Sus scrofa: one gene and its partners. The protein of the gene in region 2 interacts with the protein of the main gene of each other region in a pairwise test. Links are inferred from orthologs where the notes say so. Each region holds a gene or a part of one and is shown on either strand. Other genes may lie near its edges.

What was found. The genes of interacting proteins can lie anywhere in the genome.
Region 1: the proteins of SPTBN1 (region 2) and CEP63 interact in a two-hybrid assay, tested with the Homo sapiens proteins (2 studies listed by BioGRID and IntAct). The link is inferred for Sus scrofa from reciprocal best matches to the Homo sapiens genes SPTBN1 and CEP63.
Region 3: the proteins of SPTBN1 (region 2) and SH3BP5 interact in a two-hybrid assay, tested with the Homo sapiens proteins (2 studies listed by BioGRID and IntAct). The link is inferred for Sus scrofa from reciprocal best matches to the Homo sapiens genes SPTBN1 and SH3BP5.

What each region holds. Positions count from the first base shown.
Region 1 is NC_010455.5:75,691,059-75,698,561, forward strand, and holds part of CEP63 (centrosomal protein of 63 kDa), read left to right. Parts: intron 1-3,185; coding exon 3,186-3,300; intron 3,301-4,685; coding exon 4,686-4,883; intron 4,884-6,534; coding exon 6,535-6,621; intron 6,622-7,503. UniProt on the Homo sapiens protein: Required for normal spindle assembly.
Region 2 is NC_010445.4:86,586,192-86,593,694, reverse strand, and holds part of SPTBN1 (spectrin beta chain, non-erythrocytic 1), read left to right. Parts: exon of another isoform or gene 1-2,617; coding exon 2,618-2,856; intron 2,857-4,294; coding exon 4,295-4,468; intron 4,469-6,331; coding exon 6,332-6,374; intron 6,375-7,139; coding exon 7,140-7,358; 3' UTR 7,359-7,503. UniProt on the Homo sapiens protein: Fodrin, which seems to be involved in secretion, interacts with calmodulin in a calcium-dependent manner and is thus candidate for the calcium-dependent movement of the cytoskeleton at the membrane.
Region 3 is NC_010455.5:2,517,581-2,525,083, forward strand, and holds part of SH3BP5 (SH3 domain-binding protein 5), read right to left. Parts: intron 2,327-7,503; coding exon 2,162-2,326; intron 1-2,161. UniProt on the Homo sapiens protein: Functions as a guanine nucleotide exchange factor (GEF) with specificity for RAB11A and RAB25. Inhibits the auto- and transphosphorylation activity of BTK. Plays a negative regulatory role in BTK-related cytoplasmic signaling in B-cells.

The sequences.
Region 1 (7,503 bases), on a different chromosome or scaffold from region 2:
TATTATCCCATAGGTCTCTTATATTGCTTTCATGTTTTTTCATTTGGTTTTCTGTCTACTGACCTGATTGGGGGATTTCCATTATTCTATCTTCCATATCACTAATTCGTTCTTCTGCATTATTCATTCTGGTTTTTACTGCCCTTACTTCAGTTTGTATCTCTGCAAATGGATTTTTTAGTTTTTCTTGACTCCTCCTTATATTTTCTAGTTCCTTTCTGAGGGTGTCTGCATTACTGTTCATATCTTCTCTTAATTCCTTCAGTATTTTCACTATTTCTCTTTTGAACGCCAGGTCTGTCAGACTGCAGAGATCTGTTTCATTGTTGACTGCTTTAGGTGAGTTCTCCTGTTGGTTTAACTGGGGGTGGTTTCTCAGCTTCTTCATCTTGCTTGTTGTTTTCTTTTTCCTGGTGGAGTTGTATTCTCCGTGGCCAGGCAGTATTTGCCTTGGCACTGCTGTGGAATGTTTCCTGAGGGCTGGCGTTGTTGGTCAGTCTTCTTTGAGGCAGCATGGTTTTTCCAGAGGGTGGGCGGGGCTGACAGGGTCTCTCTAGGCAAAGGAGGACTTCCTGAGGGCAGACAGGACTGGGAGGTCCGCACCATGATGGGAGCAGATTTCACTTGGCTGGGCAGAGCTTGCTCTGGTGTTTTTGGGCTGTGGGGCTCTTTCAGGGGGCTGGCGGTGCTGGGCAGCTGTTCCATAGGAGTGCAGCACCCCCCGAGGGCTGAAGCAGCTAGCTGGGCAGCTCAGAACCCAAGAGGCTCTTCCCCAGGGCAGCCCGACTTGGAAGGACTGCCTGAGAATGGAGGCAGATTTTTCACAGCCTGGCCGAGCTTATTCTAGCTTTTCTGGGCTGCAGACCTTTTCCCAGCGGCTGCCAGTATTGGATGCTGCTCTGCGGGGGTGTAGCCCCTCTAGAGAGCAAGCAGGCCAGGGCAGGGAAAGCCCCTGCAGTGGTAGGCTTCTGGCAAATGTTGAGGCCAGCCCTCCAGGATGGCAGGCAGCCCTAGGTCCAGTGCGCACGTGAGGGGTAGGGGGAGGGGGGATGCACTGGGAAGCACAGCTTTCTGATAGCTGGTGGGCTGGTGAGCTCGCTGTGGCATGGGGAGTATTCTATGGTAGCCCACCCCTTCTTCTCTCCCCTCCCCAACACTGGTGCCTTGTCTCTCCTGCAGATCCAGTTCTTCTCCCAGGTTCCCTCTGATGTGGCTTTCCACTTCCCAGCCCTTAGTGTATTGCTCCCTCCCCCTGCAATGCTCTGCTTTCTAGTCTCCCAAACAGTCTCTGCCCTGTAAAACCTGACAGACTGGTTACTAGGCCCTCCCCACAAGCAGTCTACACACCACCCACCCCAACCCGTTCCAGGGGACTAACCTCCGGAGCCGAGGTCTCTCTGCCCAGCCCCGACCCAAGCGTCTCAATTTTTGGTGACTGTGCCAGTAGTTCAGATGATCTGTTCGGTTCTCACTCTGCTTTTCAGAACTCCGACTTCCTGCTGCACTCTTCTCTGTATCTGGAGATTCCTCCGATTGGGCTGATCTTTCCATCGAGTAGGTGACTTTCCAGGGTGTGGGATCCCTTTCTCCTCCACAGTTCCCTTTTGGGAGCACCTATCCAGCTCGGATTCCCCTTCTCTCACTCTCCTCTTTTCTCTTGTTTTACCCAGTTATGTCACGAGATTCTTGCCATCATTGGAGTTTAGGTTCTTCCGACAGCGATTGATTGCTGTTCTGTGTGAGTCGCTTAACCTGTAGATGTGTTTTTGTTGTGTTTGTGGGAGAAGGCGAGTGTGTCCCCCTACTCTTCCGCCATCTTGCCTCCTCCCCCCATTTATTTATTTTTGTTTTTATTGCCATTACTCTAAGAGGTGGATCTGATAAGATATTGCTGTGATTTATGTTGGAGAGTGTTCAGCCTATGTTTTCCTCTCAGAGTTTTATCTGGTCTTATATCTAATTCTTTAATCTATTTTGAGCTTTTTTAAATCTATTTGGGATTTATTTTTGTGTATGGGGTTTGGAAGTGTTCTAATTTCATTATTTTACATGTTGCTGTCCAGTTTTCCCAGCACCACTTATTGAAGGGGCTGTCTTTTCTCCATTGTATATTCTTGCCTCCTTTGTCATAGATGAGTTGACTGTAGGTGCACGGGTTTAATTCTGGGCTTTCTATGCTGTTCCACTGATCTATATTTCTGTCTTTTTGCCAGTACCACACGATGACTGTAGCTTTGTTGTATAGTCTGAAGTCCGGGAGCCTGATTCCTCCAGCTCCATTTTTCTTTTTCAGAATGGCTTTGGCTATTCTGGGTCTTCTGTGCTTCCAAACAAACTTTAAAATATTTTGTTCGAGTTCTGTGAAAAATGTCCTTGGTAATTTGATAGGGATTTCATTGAATCTGTAGATTGCCTTGGGTGGTATAGTCGTTTTGACAATATTGGCTCTTCCAGTCCAAGAACATCATATGTGTTTCCATCCGTTTGTGTCACCTTTGATTTCTTTCATGAGCATCTTATAGTTTTCAGAGTACAGGTTTTTTGTCTCTTTAGATAGGTTTATTCCTAAGTATTTTAATCTCTTTGATGTGATAATAAATGGGATTATTTCTCTAATTTCTCTTTCTGACCTTTCATTGTTAGTATATAGAAATGCACTTGATTTCTGTATTAATTTTGTATGCTGCAACTTTGCCACATCCATTAATGAGCTCTAACAGTTTTCTGGCAGGGTCTTCAGGATTCTCTAGGCATGGTATCATGTCATCTGCAAATAGTGATAGTTGTACTTCTTCCTTTCCAATTTGGATTCCTTTTATTTCTTTTTCTTCTTAGATTGCCATGGCTAGGACTAGCAAAACTATTTTGAATAGTAGTGGCGAGAGCGGACATCCTTGTCTTGTTCCTGATCTCAGCGGGAATTCTTTCAGCTTTTTACCATTGAGAAAAGCTGATGTTAGCTCTGAGTTTGTCATATATGGTCTTTATTATGTTGAGGTAGGTTCCCTCTATGCCCACTTTCTGAAGGGTTTTTATCAGAAATGGGTGTTGGATTTTGTCAAAGGCTTTTTCTGCATCTATTGTAGGATATTTCTTTAGACATCAACAAAGTAAAATAACTTGATTTCAGTGGTTTCAGGGTTTTCATTTTGTTTTAAATACATAATTTTATTTTTGTCTTACAGCTTGGAATCTGTGAGTGCTACATGTAAACAGCTGAGCCAAGAGCTAATGGAAAAATATGAAGAGCTGAAGAAGATGGAAGTGCATAACAATGAGTACAGGGCTGAGATTAAGAAGGTAAAGGTCCACATGCCTGGGATTGCAGAGCCCTGAGTGTTTACAGCCTGAGCTGCGGGTTGGAGATTACAGGAGTATTTTTAAGGAGAGAAAAGTGTGTAGTGCAGAGCCCATTTGATGCTCAGGAGTAGAGAGTACCTGAAAGGTGCTTAGGAGAGTGCCTTCTATGTCATCCTCAGGGATATGCTATGTAAGTATTTTCCAGATAATTGAAGCCTGCCCCCTTTGAACTCCAGTTATATTTTAAACATGTCTTGATGAAAAGTTTTCTAAAAGATACACACCTCAGAGTTCCCATTGTGGCCCAGCAATAGCAAACCCGACCAGTATCCACGAAGATGTCAGTTCGATCTCTGGCCTCGCTCAGTGGGTTAAAGGATCCGGGGTTGCCATGAGCTTTGGCGTAAGTCACACACGTGGCTTGAATCCGGAGTTGCTGTGGCTGTGGTATAGGCCAGCGGCTGTAGCTCCAATTGAGTCCCTAGCCTGGGAACTTCCACATGCCATGGATTCAGCTCTGAAAAGACGAAAAGAAAAGATACACACCTTGCATGCACAAACACATTATGTGAGCTGGCATTGAATATTTTCTTACTGACTGAAGGTGATGATGAGGGTGTGCTATGGGTAGTTATATCCGAAATGGCGTATGACGTGTGCAGAGTTTATCTCTATGTTAATGGGTCCTGGCTGTTGACTCAGATTTTTTATTACTTCTTCAAGATTACTTCTAGCCCCTTTCTTCTTCTGTTATCTTCTATGGACTATGAAACCATATAAGCAAAAATTTTAGATTTGCAGCTGAAAAAAGAATGAAGGTTACAGGAGCTGTCCTCTAAACAATGTATACTTGGGCTTTAATACTGGTTCTCAGCACTTGAGTAACCCATCTTTCCCTGTTTTGTTTTGTTTGTTTGTTTATTTTTTCTTTTAGGGCCACATGTGTGGCATATGGAAATTCCAGGCTAGGGGTTGAATTGGAGCTGCAGTTGCTGGTTTCCGCCACAGCCACAGCAACACAGGATCTGAGCCACATTTGCCACCTATGCCACAGCTTGAGGCAACACCAGATCCTTAACCCACCGAGTGAGGCCAGGGATCGAACCTGCATCCCCATGGATTCTAGTCGGATTCTTAACCTGCTGAGCCACAAAAGGAACTCCCCATCTCCCCCTGTTTTAAGATCTAATAACTAATTGTGGGTATAGCCATCTGACTTTCAATACAGATATGCAACTTGGTAAACTTGCTAATTTTCTACAGATTTAATCAGGGAAATTTATGTCTTGAGGTAAGGTAAAAATTACTTTGTTATTTTAACTATTAATGTATTTTTCTGTCTATATATTTTCTCTCAATTTTTCATGCTTTCTATTTCTTTGTAGTTGAAAGAACAGATTTTACAGGCCGAACAGAGTTATAGTTCTGTCCTAGAAGGAATGAAGATGGAGATTTCCCAACTAACTCGAGAGTTACATCAGCGAGATATCACTATTGCTTCCACCAAAAGTTCTTCATCTGACATGGAAAGGCGACTTAAAGTAGAGATACAAAAGGCAGAAGAAAAAGCAGTAGAGCATAAGGTGAAACTTGGACTAAAACTTTTTTATTTTTGTCTTTTTGTCTTCCTAGGGCCTCACCCATGGCATACGGAGGTTCCCAGGCTAGGGGTCTAATTGGAGCTGTAGCTGCTGGCCTACACCACAGCCACAGCAGCACCATATCTGAGCCTCGTCTGTGACCTACACCACAGCTGCTAGCAACGCCGGATCCTTAACCCACTGAAGGAGGCCAGGGATCAAACCCCCAACCTCAAGGTTCCTAGTCAGATTCATTTCCACTGTTCCACGACAGGAACTCCAGGACTAAAACTCCTTATTTGAAGTTTGTTTTTGAAGATTCGGTTTATTAAAAGTATAATTTCCACAGTATTTAATTCAGTAAATTTTTATTAGTCCTCTTCTTCAGGTTGAGGGTGGGCTGGTTTATCTAGTGAAGATCGGTGGGGAGGTAAGAGAAGATGCTGATACAGACACGTGATGAGACAGTTTCTGTGGTGTGTAGTGAGGGTGAGCCATGTTCACTGAGACAGACTAGAGCTCAGGCAGGGCCAGTGGCAAGGGATGAGACTGGAATGCAGGGATCAGCTCCAGAAGGGCCTTGCCAACCTGTGCAGGAGTTTTCGTGTTACCTCGAGGGCCTGTAGAAAATGACATTAAGCAGGAATAAGAGGTCTCTGTGGCTGTCTTGTGGAGAATAAGCACGGAGGCAAGGAGACCACTTAGATTCTATCACAGCTGCAAGATGGTGGCCTGAGCAGTGTACATGGGAGACAGAGGGAAATGGATGAATTCTGGAGATACTTGGCTGGTAAAATGGACTGGTCTTTGTTCAGTTGATTGGACAGGAAGAATGAATTAGAGTTAGGGAAAGATGTCACTCAGGATTCCAGCCTGGGCAACAGGAATAGAAAGTGATGCTTTTTAGTGAAATGCAGAAAAGATAGGGAGTAGGTTTGGGCAGGATAATGAATTTGCATCAAAGGTATACAAAGTAGGGAAGTTGGCAGAGGGGACATTGGTTTGACATAAAGGCTGGACTTTCATATGGAAATATATAAATTCTGGAGTCAGTTCTCCAGAAGACTTGGATGGAGTTCAAGATTAAAATCAAGGTAAGACATTTTGCATGAGGTCGATGTTTGAAACCCTGGGAGAATTAGAGGATTATGAGAAAGCAGAGGGTATGAAGAGGAGAGACTCGCACCAAACTTAGGAAACTACTCATTTAGAGTAGAAAGGTGTTGGAATGGAGCTAAGAAGAAAAGTAGCAGTAAGGAAGGAAACCACATAGTCCTTGCAGGAGAAGCAGAAAGCTAAAAGTAGGGATGGTCAAGCAGAAAAGCTAAGGAGAAAGGGCACTAAAAATAAGTTAGTACCTTTTGCAAGGAGTGTAGTCCACATGCTGTTGGAGGTAGAGGCCAGTAAGAGTAGGCGACACAGAAGTGCTTAGGGAGTTAGGAGTGCCCTGTCATCATGTTAGAATAATGTTCCAATTGGGTGCATTTTAAGTCATTTTGAAACACCTTTTCAAAAAGCATTTTAGAAATCATTCGTATATATGCATGAAGAATATAACTTCACTTAATGAAAATTACATGTGGAAAAATTATATAAGATGCATTTGATTTAACTGATTATTTTATCTATTATTTTTTCTATTTTCCCTTCTCAGGAGATTTTGAATCAGCTGGAGTCACTCAAATTAGAAAATCGTCATCTTTCTGAAATGGTGATGAAATTGGAATTGGGTTTACATGAGGTACGTAAGTAGAAACTAAAGTTTTTCTACTATCCGAGCCTTTAAGAAATCACTTTGTAAAGCAAAAGTTCAAATCAAATTGTGAAATGCTCCTTCTCCAGAAACTTTCTCAAATAAAAAGAAGTCAAGACACTTGATGGGGGTGAGCAAAATATGACTCTCCACTTCAGCAATTGGAAGATTTTTTTAAATATTATGTAATAAAATATGCGTATAGTCTGTATCCTTAATAGTGAGAATGTATATAATATATATATGTCTAGCATAGTGTCTCGCATTTAGTAAGTGCACAGTAAAGGTTAGATGCTATAATTATTACTGTAATTATAATGTTTATAATATCTTTTCATTATGAAGTGTGTCAGCTTTTAAATAATTTGGTTTCATATCATATCTATCTTATGTTTTTATAAGATATGTCATTTTAATCAAACATAGTAGAATCTTTTATGTTCAGAGTATTTTAGTAAATAGTGTAATGGACACAGGGATGAATTAAAATAGGACTCTTGCCTTTAAGAGATTGAGGGTAAATCACAATGAAAATTAGAATATTTTAAACTGAATAATGTTGAAAATATGTCATTCACTTTTGGGAGGACAACAAAAATTATGCTTAATAATTTTAAAGTGTGTTTGACAAGTGTGTTGAAGTATATTTGTAGAAGTAGTTGGTAATTTTTTTGTTATTAATTTTAGCTAAATTCCACAGTGGTCAGGAAATATACTCTTGAGTTATTCCAATTTTTTTTTTTTATGGCCACACCTGCAGCATATGAAAGTTCCAGGGCCAGGGATTGAATCCAAACTGAAGCTGCTGACCTATGCCAGCCATGCCAGCCATGCCAGCCATACCAGCACCTTTAACTCTTTGCACCAGGC
Region 2 (7,503 bases):
TATATAAATTTTGTATCATCAGGACTGATAAACAATTTGATGTTTTTTGTATTCAGAAGACCAAAACCAAACCAAAAAAAAGCCACATAAGCACACAAGAAAGGTGTGCTATTATGTTTGTGGCATTTGTCGTCATACCTATTTTTGTCTAGATTTTTAAATTGTAGCTTGCCAAGACATGTTTTTAATTATAATTGGATTGTATCAGAAGAAGAAAAGCTCTTACTCTTCTGAGTTATGGTGCAGAGACTCAAGTTAATGAACTTGAAAATAGTGTTGCTTTGTGCACTTAGAATACCAATCAGGTGTTTCTTGTGCTACTAGTTGTCACGTTGCATTTCTGTTCACCTCCTGATTGAAATATCTCAGGTGTACCCAGCCACTAAAGCATTCTGGACTAATCGCTAAGGAGAAGCAACGTGGGGTGGGGGCAGGGGCGTATCCACATGTACCCACTGTTTGGTCACAGCACTATGATTTGCTTTTGATGTTTGTCTCTAGTGGTGTGTTGTCTGTTGGCATGCTTAAGCACATGTCCATTAAAATTCATTTTGTTCCTTTTATTTTCCTTGTTTTCTTGGTTACTGATTCATTTGCATAAACATTACTCATCTGTGCATTACTGGTTTGGGGTTTTCTCTTTCCTTCTAACTCTAAAGGAAAAAAAAATTTTTGCTGCAGAATTTCCCCTAGAAGAGGCTTCCCCTGGCCTTCACCTACCTTGAAGTCTGACCAAGTATGACAAATTATAGCATTCTTCCAGTAAATCTTCCTCTGTCCAGGTCCTTGCTGTCACTAGCAGTTTTCGAGTCACACCTGCAGCACTAATTTTTTTTTTAACCTGGTTTCTATACACACTAACCCCATGTCTCCCTGGACTCATGCCTGGTACAGGCCTTCCAGACCAATCTCACACTCGCTCCCCATCAGAAGTTTCCTGAAACCTCCCATTAGAACAGATTTGTCAACTTTAAAATCCACTCACTTCTTTTTGACTTAAGAGTTTTGTGTTTTGGTTATTATTCCCCCCTCTGTCTCTCCTTTAAAAGTGAAAGGCAAGAGAGAAATATGTAAATAGCCTTTTGCTCATAAGCTCATGTCCACAGGCTGTCACTTGCAAGTCCAGGATACTCACCAGGCATCTCCTGCCCTAAGAATCCATTTTTTCCCATTGCTCTGTGGATAAAGAGTCCTAATCAAAAGTACCCTTCAGTTGCATAGCCTCTAGTCTCACCTTGAGCCCTGGTGCTAACAGTGATAGTTTCATAGACAGAATAAAAACTTGATCCCCACCCCACCCCTTAGAGAAGATCTAATGGAGCGACCCAGTTCCTGAGAATTGACATCTGAGTGTACAAGCAGAGGTGGCCCTTCTGCCATTGGTCCTGTTGAGGTGGTTGCCGCTAATTTGGTGTCACTTGGCTCCGGGCAGCAGTGGTGGGGGATGTACCTAATGAGCGTGCCATTGACACCTCCATGTCTGTCCGTGTATGAGGGGTGCAGGTCGTCTGTAACCCACTAAAGCGTCAGCCACACCCAGCTTTAGTAACTCGCTAATCCCACGCCCTGGGTGTATCAGCCAGGGGCCGCTCCAGTTCATGGTACCCAGTTGATGGCACACAGGCTGAAAGCGATAATGAACGGAGACCCTGCTGCATTGCCCAAGCCGAAAAGCCAGGAGGGTTACAATATAAATGAGCTTGGGAAGGAACAGCTCCCGAAGACGTCTCCAGCCTGGAGGGTCAGAGCCGCTGGAGGCCTGGCTGTCTGGGCTTTCTCGTCTCAGTGCAGCAAGGCACCGTGATCAACCAACACGTGATGGGGAAGGCCCTGGTTCTGTCTTTGTTTGGGGGTAAATAGCCGTGTGGTGTTGAGTGACTGTGATTGGCTTTTCCAGCTCCTTTAACACAAACTACAACCCACTCACGATACAACTTGGGCAGATGTGGTTACATTGATGTTTGTTGACTTGCCTCATTTCCTTCCAGCTCTTAAGTCCCAAAGTCTAACGGGGATGGTAGATGTGAAGTGCATGATTGCCGTCCTAATTTCTGCATGTGTTTATGACGATGTGTCGAGGGGTGGGGGAGGAGAGCCGGAGAGCATTTTCAGAAAGCAGAGGTCTTTCTTGTCTGACTTTGGGGGAATGCTGTGTAGTTCTGATAGAGTTATCTATCCATCTGTTTGTGAATGCCCTTTCGCTTCAACTTCCAGCCCTTCTGGTGGCGTCCTTGGTTGTAAGGTGGCTGCTGTATAACGTCCGCTCTCATATTTAATATGTGTGATTGTTATCGTTGTCCTTTTGTTTTAAAGTAACCTTAAGAGGAAATGATCTGAGTTCTCTTAGAGAAAATGGATTGATCAGAGGAGCAGAGTGCAGTAAAACTCAGCCTAGCATTTCGCTTTTCTCATTTCCCCGTAAACGGGCGGGTATTAATCCATCCCCACCTTCTAATGTCCCTGGTGTCCAGCTGGCTTTGTGGGGTGTGCGATGGTTTTACTGTACTGCCTCGATCTGTGCCAGGCATTTATACACAGCCACGTGTGCGAGTCAGAGCGTATGTGGTCACCCCCGGGGCTCACGGGGTCAGCTGAATGGCCTCTCCGCTGTCCCTAGATGGCAGAAACGGTGGACACGAGTGAAATGGTCAACGGCGCCGCAGAACAGAGGACAAGCTCGAAGGAGTCCAGCCCCATCCCCTCCCCAACCTCCGACCGCAAAGCCAAGACCTCCCTCCCTGCCCAGAGTGCCGCCACCTTGCCGGCCAGAACCCAGGAGACGCCCTCGGCCCAGATGGAAGGCTTCCTGAATCGGAAGCACGAGTGGGAGGCCCACAACAAGAAAGCCTCAAGCAGGTAACAGCAGCAGAGGCTGAGGTGGTCCCGTGGGAGGTCGGCTCATTAGAGGTGGCGGCAGGCCGCTCCTGCTTGAAAGGGGGGCGACACTGGGGAGTGGGCATGTGGCACTTTTTATTCACGGAGAGAAGTGGGAGTTCCGTGTGCGTGGAAGTGTCAACAGGAGGCCTTTGTTCTCCTGAGAAGGAGTGCTCTAGATTAAGGTGCAGGAGTGTTCCCTGGAGTGAAATGACTTCACTGTTGCTTTCTCTTTGAGGGGTGTTTTAGCACATTCCCCACTTCCCCTCCCTTACCTCCATATCCATCTGTATATTTGTTATCTCCCGGTAGCCTTCCTTGTATTGTTTCCATTTACAAGTGAGAAAAACAGAAGCTCTGAGAGGTTAAGAAAGCTCACCTTGTATAGTAACGTAGTAAATGGCAAAGCTAGGGTGAGACTCATCTGACTCTACAACCTGTGTGCTTAACTGGTAAGCTAAACTGCCTGGGGGGCCAGCATGTGTGGTTGTCCATGTTGTACACTGTACAAGGAAGTCCCATCTGAGAGCTGCCATCCACGTTGAGGACAGTATGGACTTATTTGCCAGTACAGTTGGGTGGCAGTAAAGTGCCTTGTTCTAAGAAAATCAGAATATCCTGGCCATTTGCCATGTCATGGGGAAAAGCCTACCTTTTTCTAATTCAGTGCTACCATAAGTGCCAATGGCCCTGGATCTGCCTCCCTGTCAGGTTGCCAGCCCACATCAGAGAATGAAGCTAAGGCTGAGGAGCTGCTTAAGGACAGGCATGTTACCAGTAAGGAGCCTGGCCTGTACCCCATTACCACAAGAGGGTGCTGCGGCAAAGAGTACCAAACACCAACCAGAATTTTTCCCGTCAGAGCCAAGAGTACCTTTATTTAATAAAAGAAGGCACTGTGTCTTTCCTCAAATTCAGAGTGAGAAACAACCCTCAAAAGCCTGCCACCATAGCAACAGGTGCCTTGTCTCAGGCAAACACATAGGAATAAAGTTCCATTGTTTCTTTTTTTTTTTTTTGTCTTTTTGTCTTTTTGCTTTTTCTAGGGCCACTCCCGTGGCATATGGAGGTTCCCAGGCTAGAGCTGTAATTGGAGCTGTAGCCGCCAGCCTATACCAAAGCCACATTAACGTGGGATCCGAGCCGCATCTGTAACCTATACCGCAGCTCACGGCAACGCCAGATCCTTAACCCACCGAGCAAGGCCAGGGATCGAACCCGAAACCTCATGGTTCCTAGTTGGATTCATTAACCACTGCGCCATGACGGGAACTCCTGTTGTTTCTTTTTTAGCAGAATTTAGGAAGGACTTTTAACAAGAAATCAGAGAATGTTGTGTGGGGATTATTTTCATCTTAAACTCTTGGTTCTTGAAGGGAGTGTGCAGCAGAACCCTGACGTCCCTTTCTTTACTGCTCAGGTCCTGGCACAATGTTTACTGTGTCATAAATAACCAAGAAATGGGTTTCTACAAAGACGCAAAGACAGCTGCTTCCGGAATTCCCTACCACAGCGAGGTCCCTGTGAGTTTGAAAGAAGCCATCTGTGAAGTGGCCCTCGATTACAAAAAGAAGAAACACGTGTTCAAGCTAAGGTGAGGGTTGTCAGAGTGGGTGTGTGTTCATTTTCACCCTCGGGGATCGTTTCCTTAGACGGATGCTATCATCCATCGGTTCCTCTCTCTCATTTAAAATATCACTGATAGGAGTTCCCTTCATGGCTCAGTGGTTAACGAACCCAACTAGGAATCATGAGGTTGCGGGTTCGATCCCTGGCCTCGCTCGGTGGGTTAAGGGTCCAGGATTGTCGTGAGCTGTGATGTAGGTTGCAGACATAGCTCGGATCCCGCGTTGCTGTGGCTGTGATGTAGGCCAGTGGCTGTGGCTCTGGTTTGACCCCTAGCCTGGGAACCTTCATTTCCTGTGGATGCAGCCCTAAAAAGAAGAAAAAAAAAATCACTAATAAAGCAACAAACTGGATAGACACACACCTTGGTTAGGATGCTGGGCATTGTGGCCTGACACCAGCATATTGGTGGTTAATGGAACAGCTGAACACTGAAGAAAAGGAGCTTTCACTTTCAGAAGCTGGAATTTAGTGTTTCCTAAAACATGGTGAGCTGTTCACATTTCACAGTTTAAGGGAAGCTTAGAAAAACAGCTTCCCCATCTTTGCAGTTTATCCAGACCCAGGAGATGCTGTTCTTTACTCGTGACTTATCTGGAGATGGGTCAAGTGAGTCATCCTGGAGCCGGATGGAGACAAATAGGAAGCCGGGGTGGGGTGGGGTGGTGGTGGTGCTGTGCTCCCCTGACCCAGCGGCTGTTCCAGATGGTCCCAGAGGCATCTGGTTCCAAGTATCTCTACCCTGTAGAATACAAACAGCCCCCCACAAGAGAGGATCCAAGCTCAGGAGTTCTGCTTATACTTGGAAATGGAAAGAAAAAAAAATCAGTTTTTTTTTTTTTTTTCTTTCTCTTGCTTTTTTGGCCATGCTTATAGCATATGGAAGTTCCTGCCACAGCAGCAACCTGAGTCACAGCAGTGACAATGCCAGATCTATAACCCACTGAGCCGCATGGGAACTCCCAAAGTCAGTTCTTCTTTAAAAAGAATTTAAAAAGTAAACATGTTAGTGAACATGTTGACTGGTTGCTTTGGATCTGAAAAGGTTGGGTCCTCAGTTTCATGTGTGTCTCGTGCCAGCTGGACAAGGCCAAGGACCTCGAAGGAGAGCAGTTCAGATGATGTGATGTCTTGAGCTCTGTTGACAGGCATATGGGCTCCAAGGGACCTGGGACACCTTACACACTTTAAGGCCAGGAGCAGATGGCCAGCCTCCCTCTTTGTACTTTCTTGATGCAGCTTCAGAGGGTCGGGGTATTGACGAGGACACCAAACCCCTGTGTACCCACAACACCCCTTCGTCTTGACTGCAGCAGTGAACTAGGGTACCTTCCCAGCCAGTGGCCTTTCTGGGTGGTGACCATGGCCTCGCAAGGGCAGTTTCTTCCATTCTGAGACATATGTGAGGGAAATCTAGGAGACTTTTTCGGTGTCAGTTTCGAAAGTATGGTATTTGTAAATGTGGCAGATGTAAGTTCAGGGCAGAATTTCAAGAGGGCTCAAAAGCTTTTTAAAGAGCTTTCTGTTACATTCAGTTTAAAGCAATGATCAGACCCCCAAGTAGTCTTAGCCACGACGGATCCAGGTGTCGGTATGCCTGGAACTTTTTTGATCCTTCCCATGATTGAACCACCCCAGTACCTGTGTCTCATGGCCCAATTATCTGGCTTCTTGAGGTCCAGGGGCGGCTGCTGGGCCCCAGCGGACTCTGATGGGCATTGCTGGTATGATCCCTGTGACCTGCTTGGATCCCACATAGGATATGCCGCCGGCTGGGGGAGATTTTTCTCTTAAGTTATACTGTGATTGACTTTCTTCCTTCCAATTACAGACTAAATGATGGCAACGAGTACCTCTTCCAAGCCAAAGATGATGTAAGTTTCTAAGATGTATTTCTCTCAAATACTTGGCTTGGGTTTGTGGGACGATGAGCTTTATTTCTGATGGCCTTCACATAAGTGATGACCCGTGGTAGCTTCTGTCCTGAGGAGGCAGCGAAGATCATCTCACTGTCCTGGCGGGGGAGCTAACACAGTCCCTTGAAGTGCCTGGGAACGAACTGCCCTCCCCCTCCCAGTGGTGAGGCACAGGGAGATGGTCTCAGGACTGGTTGTAGATCCTGCAGCCCAGTCAGGAGCCTCCCCACTGCACCCACTGTACCCCATTACTTTTAACTAAACTTTGCATGGCTGTGCTTCTCCTTGAGGGGAGAGCAGGTTGGCTGCTGAGGCAACAACATGTGTTGGGCTTTGAATTTGAAAAAGCAACCTCTATTAAAGGTATGCAGTGTTGTATTCCAAATACATTTCAATTTTTTTAAAAAAAAAAAAAGAAAAAAGCATCTTCTAAGGTGGGACCTGACCCCCTGCTGTGGACCAGTGTTCCAGCTCGTCCAGGTCTGTAGGGCCACACGCTAGAGTGAGGACCTTCAGGTACTGTAAACGGAATTCGGGTGCGAGTTGACCCCCGCGTTTACTACCATCCTGACCGAGCAGAGGTTCGTTGGGGAACTGCTGTCCCCTCTCAGTGAGGCAGACACCCTATTCCCACAGAGGCTCAGATGGTCACCCAGGTGAAGGGAGAGCATCCCATGCCGTCCCTCTTAGCCGAGTCTCCCCTGTGTCCCCTCCTTGGTCCAGGAGGAAATGAACACGTGGATCCAGGCCATCTCCTCCGCCATCTCCTCTGATAAACACGAGGTGTCCGCCAGCACCCAGAGCACGCCAGCATCCAGCCGGGCTCAGACCTTGCCCACCAGCGCCGTGACCATCACCAGCGAGTCCAGTCCCGGCAAACGGGAGAAGGACAAAGAGAAAGACAAGGAAAAGAGGTTCAGCCTTTTTGGCAAGAAGAAGTGAACTCCTTTCCTTCACCTCCTGCCCTCCTCTTACCTTTTCAGTGACGTTCCAGCATGCAAGCTCAGAACCAACACATTACTCTCTGTGCCTAAATGTTCCTCAATGTGGTTGATTTTTTTTTTTTTTAATTTATAGAGCATTTCTC
Region 3 (7,503 bases), on a different chromosome or scaffold from region 2:
GCACCATTCCCAGTGACTGGTATGGATGGTGCTTCTGGAGTCTTGGGACGCAGAGGTCCTGAGGATATCTCTCCTTGACTGCCACTTACTATCCACTAGGGCCCCAGGACTTTAAAAGTAGAAGGGAAGAAAAGCAGAAACACATTCTTTTTTAAAGAACATTAAGTAATTTCTGAAATGATTTCTGACTGGCTGATTTGGATCTTGGTTGGGGTGGAAGGAGGGCAGGAAGAAAAAGCAGGCTTCAGCTTATTTCTTCGAAAGAGCTACTGTTTTTTTTCTTCCTTCTTTCCGTCTTCCTTTCCTTCTTTCTCTGTCCTTTTCACATGTCAGGCTTGTAGATTTCTAAGATTTCCCATCTCCCTTTGGTATTTCCCCAGTGGACCCAGGAAAGCTGTACCAGTCTGTGCTTGGCTCTCTAAGCATCCTGTCCACTAGGGGGCAGGAGTCCCCAGGCCATGCAAGCCTGGCCAGGAGCCTCGGGCTTCAGGAGAGGTGGGACAGGCAACAGAGACTTGACACCAAGTCTAAGTCTTTGTGTGTCAGGCATTCTATTTAAGGAATCACAAGGCCATCTTTAACTCTCAGGTCCCCAAGGGCTTGAGCCACTGTAGGTGACATTGAAAAGAGAGCCTCTGGCATCAACTCCTGACATTTCTTTTCTTTTCTGTCTTTTTAGGGCCGCACCTGCGGCACATAGAGGTTCCCAGGCTAGGGGTGGAATCGGAGCTGTAGCCACTGGCCTACCCCACAGTCACAGCACTGCCAGATCCGAGCCACATCTGCGACCTACACCACAGCTCACGGCAACACCGGATCCTTAACCCACTGAGTGAGGCCTATATCAAACCTGCGCTGCATCCCCATGGATACTAGTCAGATTCATTTCCACTGAGCCACAACGGGAACTCCAACTCCTGACATTTCTTTTTTTTTTTTTTCTTTTTTTGTCTTTTGTCCCCCTGGGGCCGCACCCATGGCACATGGAGGTCCCCAGGCCATGGGTCTAATCGGAGCTGTTGCCACCACAGCAACGCAGGATCCAAGCTGCCATCTACAACCCACACCACAGCAACGCCGGATCCCCAACCCACTGAACCACAACCTCATGGTTCCCAGTCAAATTTGTTTCTGCTGTACCGCGACGGGAACTCCAAACTCCTGACATTTCTACTCCAGCCCTGCAAGGCAGCCTCTTGGGGAGTCCAGACGAGGGTTACAGCCCCCACCCACTCCCTCACCCTCCATCCAAGGCCTCAGTTGGAGCTACAGAAGCCATGTGTCGCCTTGCCCCTCACCCCATTGCAACAAACACGGCGGGGGTGGGAGACAGGGTGTAAGGAGAAACAGGCTGCAGGAGAACGCCCAGGAGCCTACGAGGGACAGGAGAAGTGACATGTCCAGTTGCTCCAAGTGCTGTCCCCATCACTTCTGATCTGAGCTATGTGGCCAGGGGGCAGGTCTTGGGAGATTGTAAAGGGCCAGAAAATGCTGGCACCAAACACAGGCGTCAAAACCGGATGAAGATACAGCACAGCCCACTTTCCGTGCACACGCTGGCTCCCCAGATTCAGCCCAGCCCGAAGACCAGTCTGCGAACCCCCTTGGTTCTGGCTTTATCTACCAGGAACCCTACTTTTCACCAACAGCACACATGTGTGAGTCCAGGCCCAGCAAAGTAACCCAGGTCCTCCACCTGGCACTCTAAACCTGGCCAGTCCCCCAGGACTCGGAGGGGACCCTGGGGAATGACCTCGTCCCCCTGGGAAGCCTAATCCAGTCAGAACCATCAGGGGTGATCTGAACTAGACGCACCTCAAGTGATGGGGAAGGGGTACAGACACTGGGTGACTGTCATCGCCCACGACGGCTTAGTCCCAGGCCTGCAGAGACCCCGTGGAGATGACCACCTATGGTGTACAACATGCCTGGGAAGGCGTCTCTGCTCAGAGCAACCAGCAAGGAGTCGGGATCCATTGGGTACACCATAACCCACGGGTGTGGGCACCCCTGACACAGACACCCACCCAGCCTCCTGACCCCCACCCCTACGCCTGCGCAATGCATACGTGCACACGCTGGCACAAGCCCAGCACCCTACCCCAGCCCAGCCCCCTACTCCAGCCCCCGGCACCACAGGTGCACTCAGCATGACTCCTACCCTCTGGGTGGCGTGGTTCAGCATCTCCTGCCAGGCTGAGTCGAACTGTCGCTTGTCATCCTCCAGCAGCCGCTGCTCGGCCAGGGAGATGGTCTCCTTGGCGGCACGGAGCACCTCCGTGGCCCTTTGGAAGTCCTGGGTGGCTCTCTGGGCTTCCAGCTGTGCCTGTACAAGAGAAAGCTCATGAGGAACCAGACGCAGCAGGGGCTGCTGCTGCTGCTGGCCCATCCTGCCCTCCTGAGGGCCTGGCCCGGTCCTGTCCTCCTGTGCCTGTCCAGCCTGGGAATAGGCCAGGCACCTGCAGGTCCTTGTAGATCCTGGGTGGAGGGAGTGGAGGGTCTTCACAGCCTGGGACCCAACAGACCAGATAAACATGCCAGCTCTGGGTCAGGATTGGAGACGGCAACCCAGCCCACATGCGGCAGGTACAGCTGGCTGGGGCCCCTCCTAGAGCAGCTCTCGTTTGCTAATGAGGTCAGCGGTGGCAGTGCTCCCCAGCCCCATGTGAGAACGAGAAAGGCCCCAGACAGCACCATCCAACGGTGTCACTCTGAATGGAAACCGTGGCTCCCAGAGGCTGGGGCTGCCCTGAGCTCACAGAGCCGAGCCCAGATTCCAGCAGCTCCGGGTCCCACCCCCGGAGTGGTGACTCTGCCAGAGAGGCTCGCACTCCAATCACACGGGCTGACACCAGTGGTGGGTGGGATGGGTGGAGGGAAGGCCCTGTCACAACACCATCCCTGCTTTCAAGGAACGTCAAGTGGGAGAATCAACCGAAACGACAGCCGATAGCCTGGCCTAGGAAGAAAGGAAAACGTGAATCCAAACTGAATGGAAAACACTCCACATTTCAAAGACTTACTAAAGGCTCAGTCCAGAAAAAGAACAGCTATCTCCTTAATAATGTCCATGTTGACCACATGATGAAATGATGACATTTTGTACATACTGGGTTAAAGTATTAACACTAATTCCACCTCCTATTTGCAATTTTTACTGGGACAACTAGAAGACAGTAAGTTCATAGCTGACTCACATTCCATTGCTTTTATACAGCAGAAACACATCCCCCAAAAGTGGACCATGTAATTGCATCCGAAATTGGCAACAAACCCTCATCACTGCTCTTGGCAGGCCCACCTTGAACTCCTCACCAGAGTTCAGGCAAGGCCGTGCCAGATGCTGGTCTGCTGCAGCCTCCTACCCAACTGCCTCGGCTAACTGGATCCCTAAGTCAGTTACATAAACTGGGGACACCCCAGGGGCTGTCCCTGGGACTCAAGAGGCAAAGGGAACAATAGGGCCCCCACCCATCCCCAGAGCAAGTCTCATATGACTGAGAGGAAGTTCTCAGAAACTACAGGCCCAGGACACTTCCCAAAGACAGTTAAAAGGAACAAAATCAGTTGGAGCCCATCAGCCCCCAGGGCGAGGGACAGCTGTGTGACCCTGTGGGTGCCCCCTCCATCCTTCAGTGACCCTGTAACTGGGTCACGCCTGAGCCGACCCTCAGGTGACGACAACCCAGTCAGGGAGATGAACCGGGCATGGACATTCAGAAGTAATAAGATGAGGAGTTCCCACTGTGGCACAGTGGGTTAAGAATCCAACTGCAGCAGCTCAGGTTGCTGAGAAGGCGTGGGTTCCATCCCTGGCCTGTGGATTAAAGGATCCAGCATTGCCACAGCTGTGGCTCAGATTCAGTCCCTAGCCTGGGGAATTTCCATATGCTGTGAGTGTGGTCACTAAAAAAAAAGTCACACAGTGAGGGGACGGAGAAATTCCTTCCGTGGAGAGAATCCAGGGAGACCTCTTACAGGAAGATGACACTGAACTGAGGCCTGGAGACAGGATGATCTGAAAACACGGCTTGGAGGGGAGCAGGGAAGAACAGAATATTTAACCAGGTTGTCTGCAGAAGGCTTGACAAAGACTCCCATCAAGGTGTCAAAAGGGAGTCAGGAATGGAGGCCTTGAGGAGTTCCCCTCATGGCGCAGTGGAAACAAATCTGACTAGGAACCATGAGGTTGCGGGTTTGATCCCGGGCCTCGCTCAGTGGGTCAAGGATCCAGCATTGCTGTGAGCTGTGGTGTAGGTCGCAGATGTGGCTCGAATTTGGCTTAGCTGTGGCTCTGGCAAAGGCTGGCAGCTGTAGCTCCGATATAACCCCTAGCCTGGGAGCCTCCATATGCCGCAGGTGTGGCCCTAAAAAGGACAAAAAAGAAAAAAAAAAAAAGAATGGAGGCCTTGAATGAAAGCCAGGCTAAAGCTTCAAGCATGAGACCTGCTTGCTGCAGACCCCTCATGTGGTCCTGGGACCATGCAGGTGCGCCTCAGTGACACAGTGGGGACCAGAGGCCACCCTCAAGAACTGACATGTGCCCTGAGAAGACACTGGACAGCACACTCAATGCTCCAGAGCCTGGGCTCCAGGCCCACTGCTCTTCCTCCATGGGAGGACAGCCCTCAAGGCCCCCCCTGCCCCACTGTGCTGGAGGGCACCTCCCCCCACTGCACACAGACCACCCACAAACTTCAAACAAGCATCAGCGGGCCATAATTAACCCCACAGGAGTCTACCATTTTCTGAGACGGGATCTGTAGTTGTTAAAAAAAATTTTAGTATTGCAATTCAGCAACATTTAAGGCTAAACTCTTTCTCTAGGTCTCCCTGCTTGGATTGTGAAGTTTTTTTTCTTCCAAGAAAGCAGCAGCAACAACAACAACAAAAAAAGATGCTCTCGTAGGGACTTTCTAGAATGCGGCTGCTGTGACCTGAACCCAGCCCCTCCGCACCCACTGCCATGCATCTGCTGCATTCCAAGGAAACCATGTCCCTACAAACAGGGAAAAGAGGAGGCCCGTCTGAAGTGACCTGGAAGAACATGATCTGTCAACTTCCTGCGGAGTTTGTGAAGTTTCCACAAGGTTCCTTCCCTCCTGTGGTATCAGAAATGTGCCTTCCTTGTCATATTGTGAATCCTGCTAATATGAGGATTTGGTCTATATTTAATCTACAGAAGCCAGATGGCATCTATCACTTATCCATCCATTCATTCAAGTAAGTGCTGGACATCTGTTCTGTTTCTACTCTCTACTCTCTCCATCTTTCTTGGTAACAGAGCCCTCATGTCTCCAGGTGAAGCAATGTCCCAGCCAAGACCCTACTTCCCAGTTGTCATGATAGCTAGTTACTTTCAGCTAATGAAATATAAACGGACACTGAGTGAGACTTCCAAGAGCACTCCTCCTGTCTTTCCATCTGTGATATTAATACAATGGCTGGTGCTTCAGCAGCCATTTTGGATCATGAGGCAACTCTAAGGATGAAGGAATAGTAAATTAGGTCCCTGCCCTAAGTTGACTTTTTACAGGACAGAGACGATAAAATCTCATGTTTAAGCCAGTGTTATTTGGGGTTTTCTGTTATATTTAGTCAAATCCCAACCTAAATGATAATACACCTTCTCATCCTCAGATGAGCTACTCTGCAAACCTGACAGACATGACTACAGCAGTCTACATAGACTGGTCAAATCTCCTTCAACTTCTTTCTGGCTGCTCACAGCCCATCCTATGACTATTAAGCCCAAGGAGACAAACTTTAGGGGGTTTCCTAAAGAATTCCAAAGATCATGGCCTCTTTGTAAGGCATTTCATAAAACATTTTCTAAAGCCACACACACGAGGAAGGACCAGGCATGCGCACACAAGGGGCAGGAGGGGAGCATGCCCTCTCTCCCCCACAGCAGGACGGAGGCCATTCAGCATTGATGAGGAAGCTCTTAATGCCAAGTTCTGGGCAGGAGGGGTCCACACCAAAATAAGGGGTTCTGACTCAGCTGGGTAAGCAGAATGCTCATTACAAACTCCAAAACAAGATCGCAACAAGTGACAGAGGAGTAAAGCACATGGGAATATCAGAAAGAGAGAGTAACTTGTCTCAGGTTTCTTAGACAAAGGGAAGAGTCCTCGGACGAGAGGGTGTCAGGCACCAGGCTTGGCCATGGAACAGGGAGCATCCAAGAGCTTACACATGTCTAACTGAGGAGGCCTGGCTTGGAGATCACTTGCCAGGGACCTAACAGGATGCATGACAGAGCCAATTTAGAAATTCAGAAGCTAGTTTAGAGTCCAGAAAAGAGCAGGCTACCTAGTTCTCTCCATCATATGAAATCTTTGGCACAATCAGTGATGTTGTACCTTCAACTCCAACAAAGGACCCAGGCCCTGGTATTAATGCATTATCTGGATAAGAGACCTATACTTGCAAGCTCCTGGGTGTGAACATAGCCCAGAGGCTCATTCATGGCAGGGAAACCCAGGTAGCAAGAGCTGAGGCCTGCCTGGCACCGCACTGAGGAAAGGCTGGCAGAGCTGGGCTTGAGCTATAAGATGCAACACAGGAAAAATGTCAACTCTATTCATGACTCATGAGCGCTATCGGCTTTCAGAGAGACAGCTTTATAGAAAAAGCATTAAAAGCTGCTCGTGGGAGTTCCTGTTGTGGCTGAGCAGTAATGAACCCGACTAGTATCCATGAAGAAGTGGGTTCAATTCCCGGCCTTGCTTAGTGGGTTAAGGATACAGCATTGTTGTGAGCTGTGGTGTAGGTCGCAGACTAGGCTCAGATCCCGAGTTGCTGTGGCTGAGGCGTGGGCCAGCAGCTGTAGCTCTGATTCAGCCCTATCCTGGGACCTTCTATATACCACAGGTGCAGCCCTAAAAAGCAAAAACAAACAAACCAACCTTGCTAAAACTGTATCTGTGCCTCCTCCCCCAGCTCAAAGCCCATGGAGAAAAGTCCCAGATGCCTCTCCAAGCCGTCTAAGGAAGAAGAAAGACCCTTGATGGCCCCAGCAAGGAGGGGATGTCCAGGACGAATATCAAGGTGGGCAGGAGACAGGGCGTCGTTCTCAGCTTTACTCGAACTGTCCTATGCTCTGAGCAATGCAAGAGTCTAAGACTTTCGATTCTGAAAGTTTCCTCCTGCCACATCCTTTCAAAGCTGTCTGAGGTTAATGGAAGAGTAGCCAGAGATGGGCATCAGCAATTTTGACCCTGAGGATATTCTGGACAAAAACATGTTTTTGTTTTGTTCTTTTTTTTTTTTTTTTTTTTTTAAAACAGCCGCACCTGCAGCATATGAAGTTCCAGACCAGGAGTCAACGCAGAGCAGCTGCAGTTGCAGCTTACACCACAACGGCGGCAACACCACATCTGAGCCAAATTTGCAACCTATACTGTAGCAATGCCAAATCTTTAACCCACTGAGCGAGGCCAGGGATGGAACCTGCATCCTCACAGAGACAGTATCGGGTTCTTAACCTGCTAAGACACA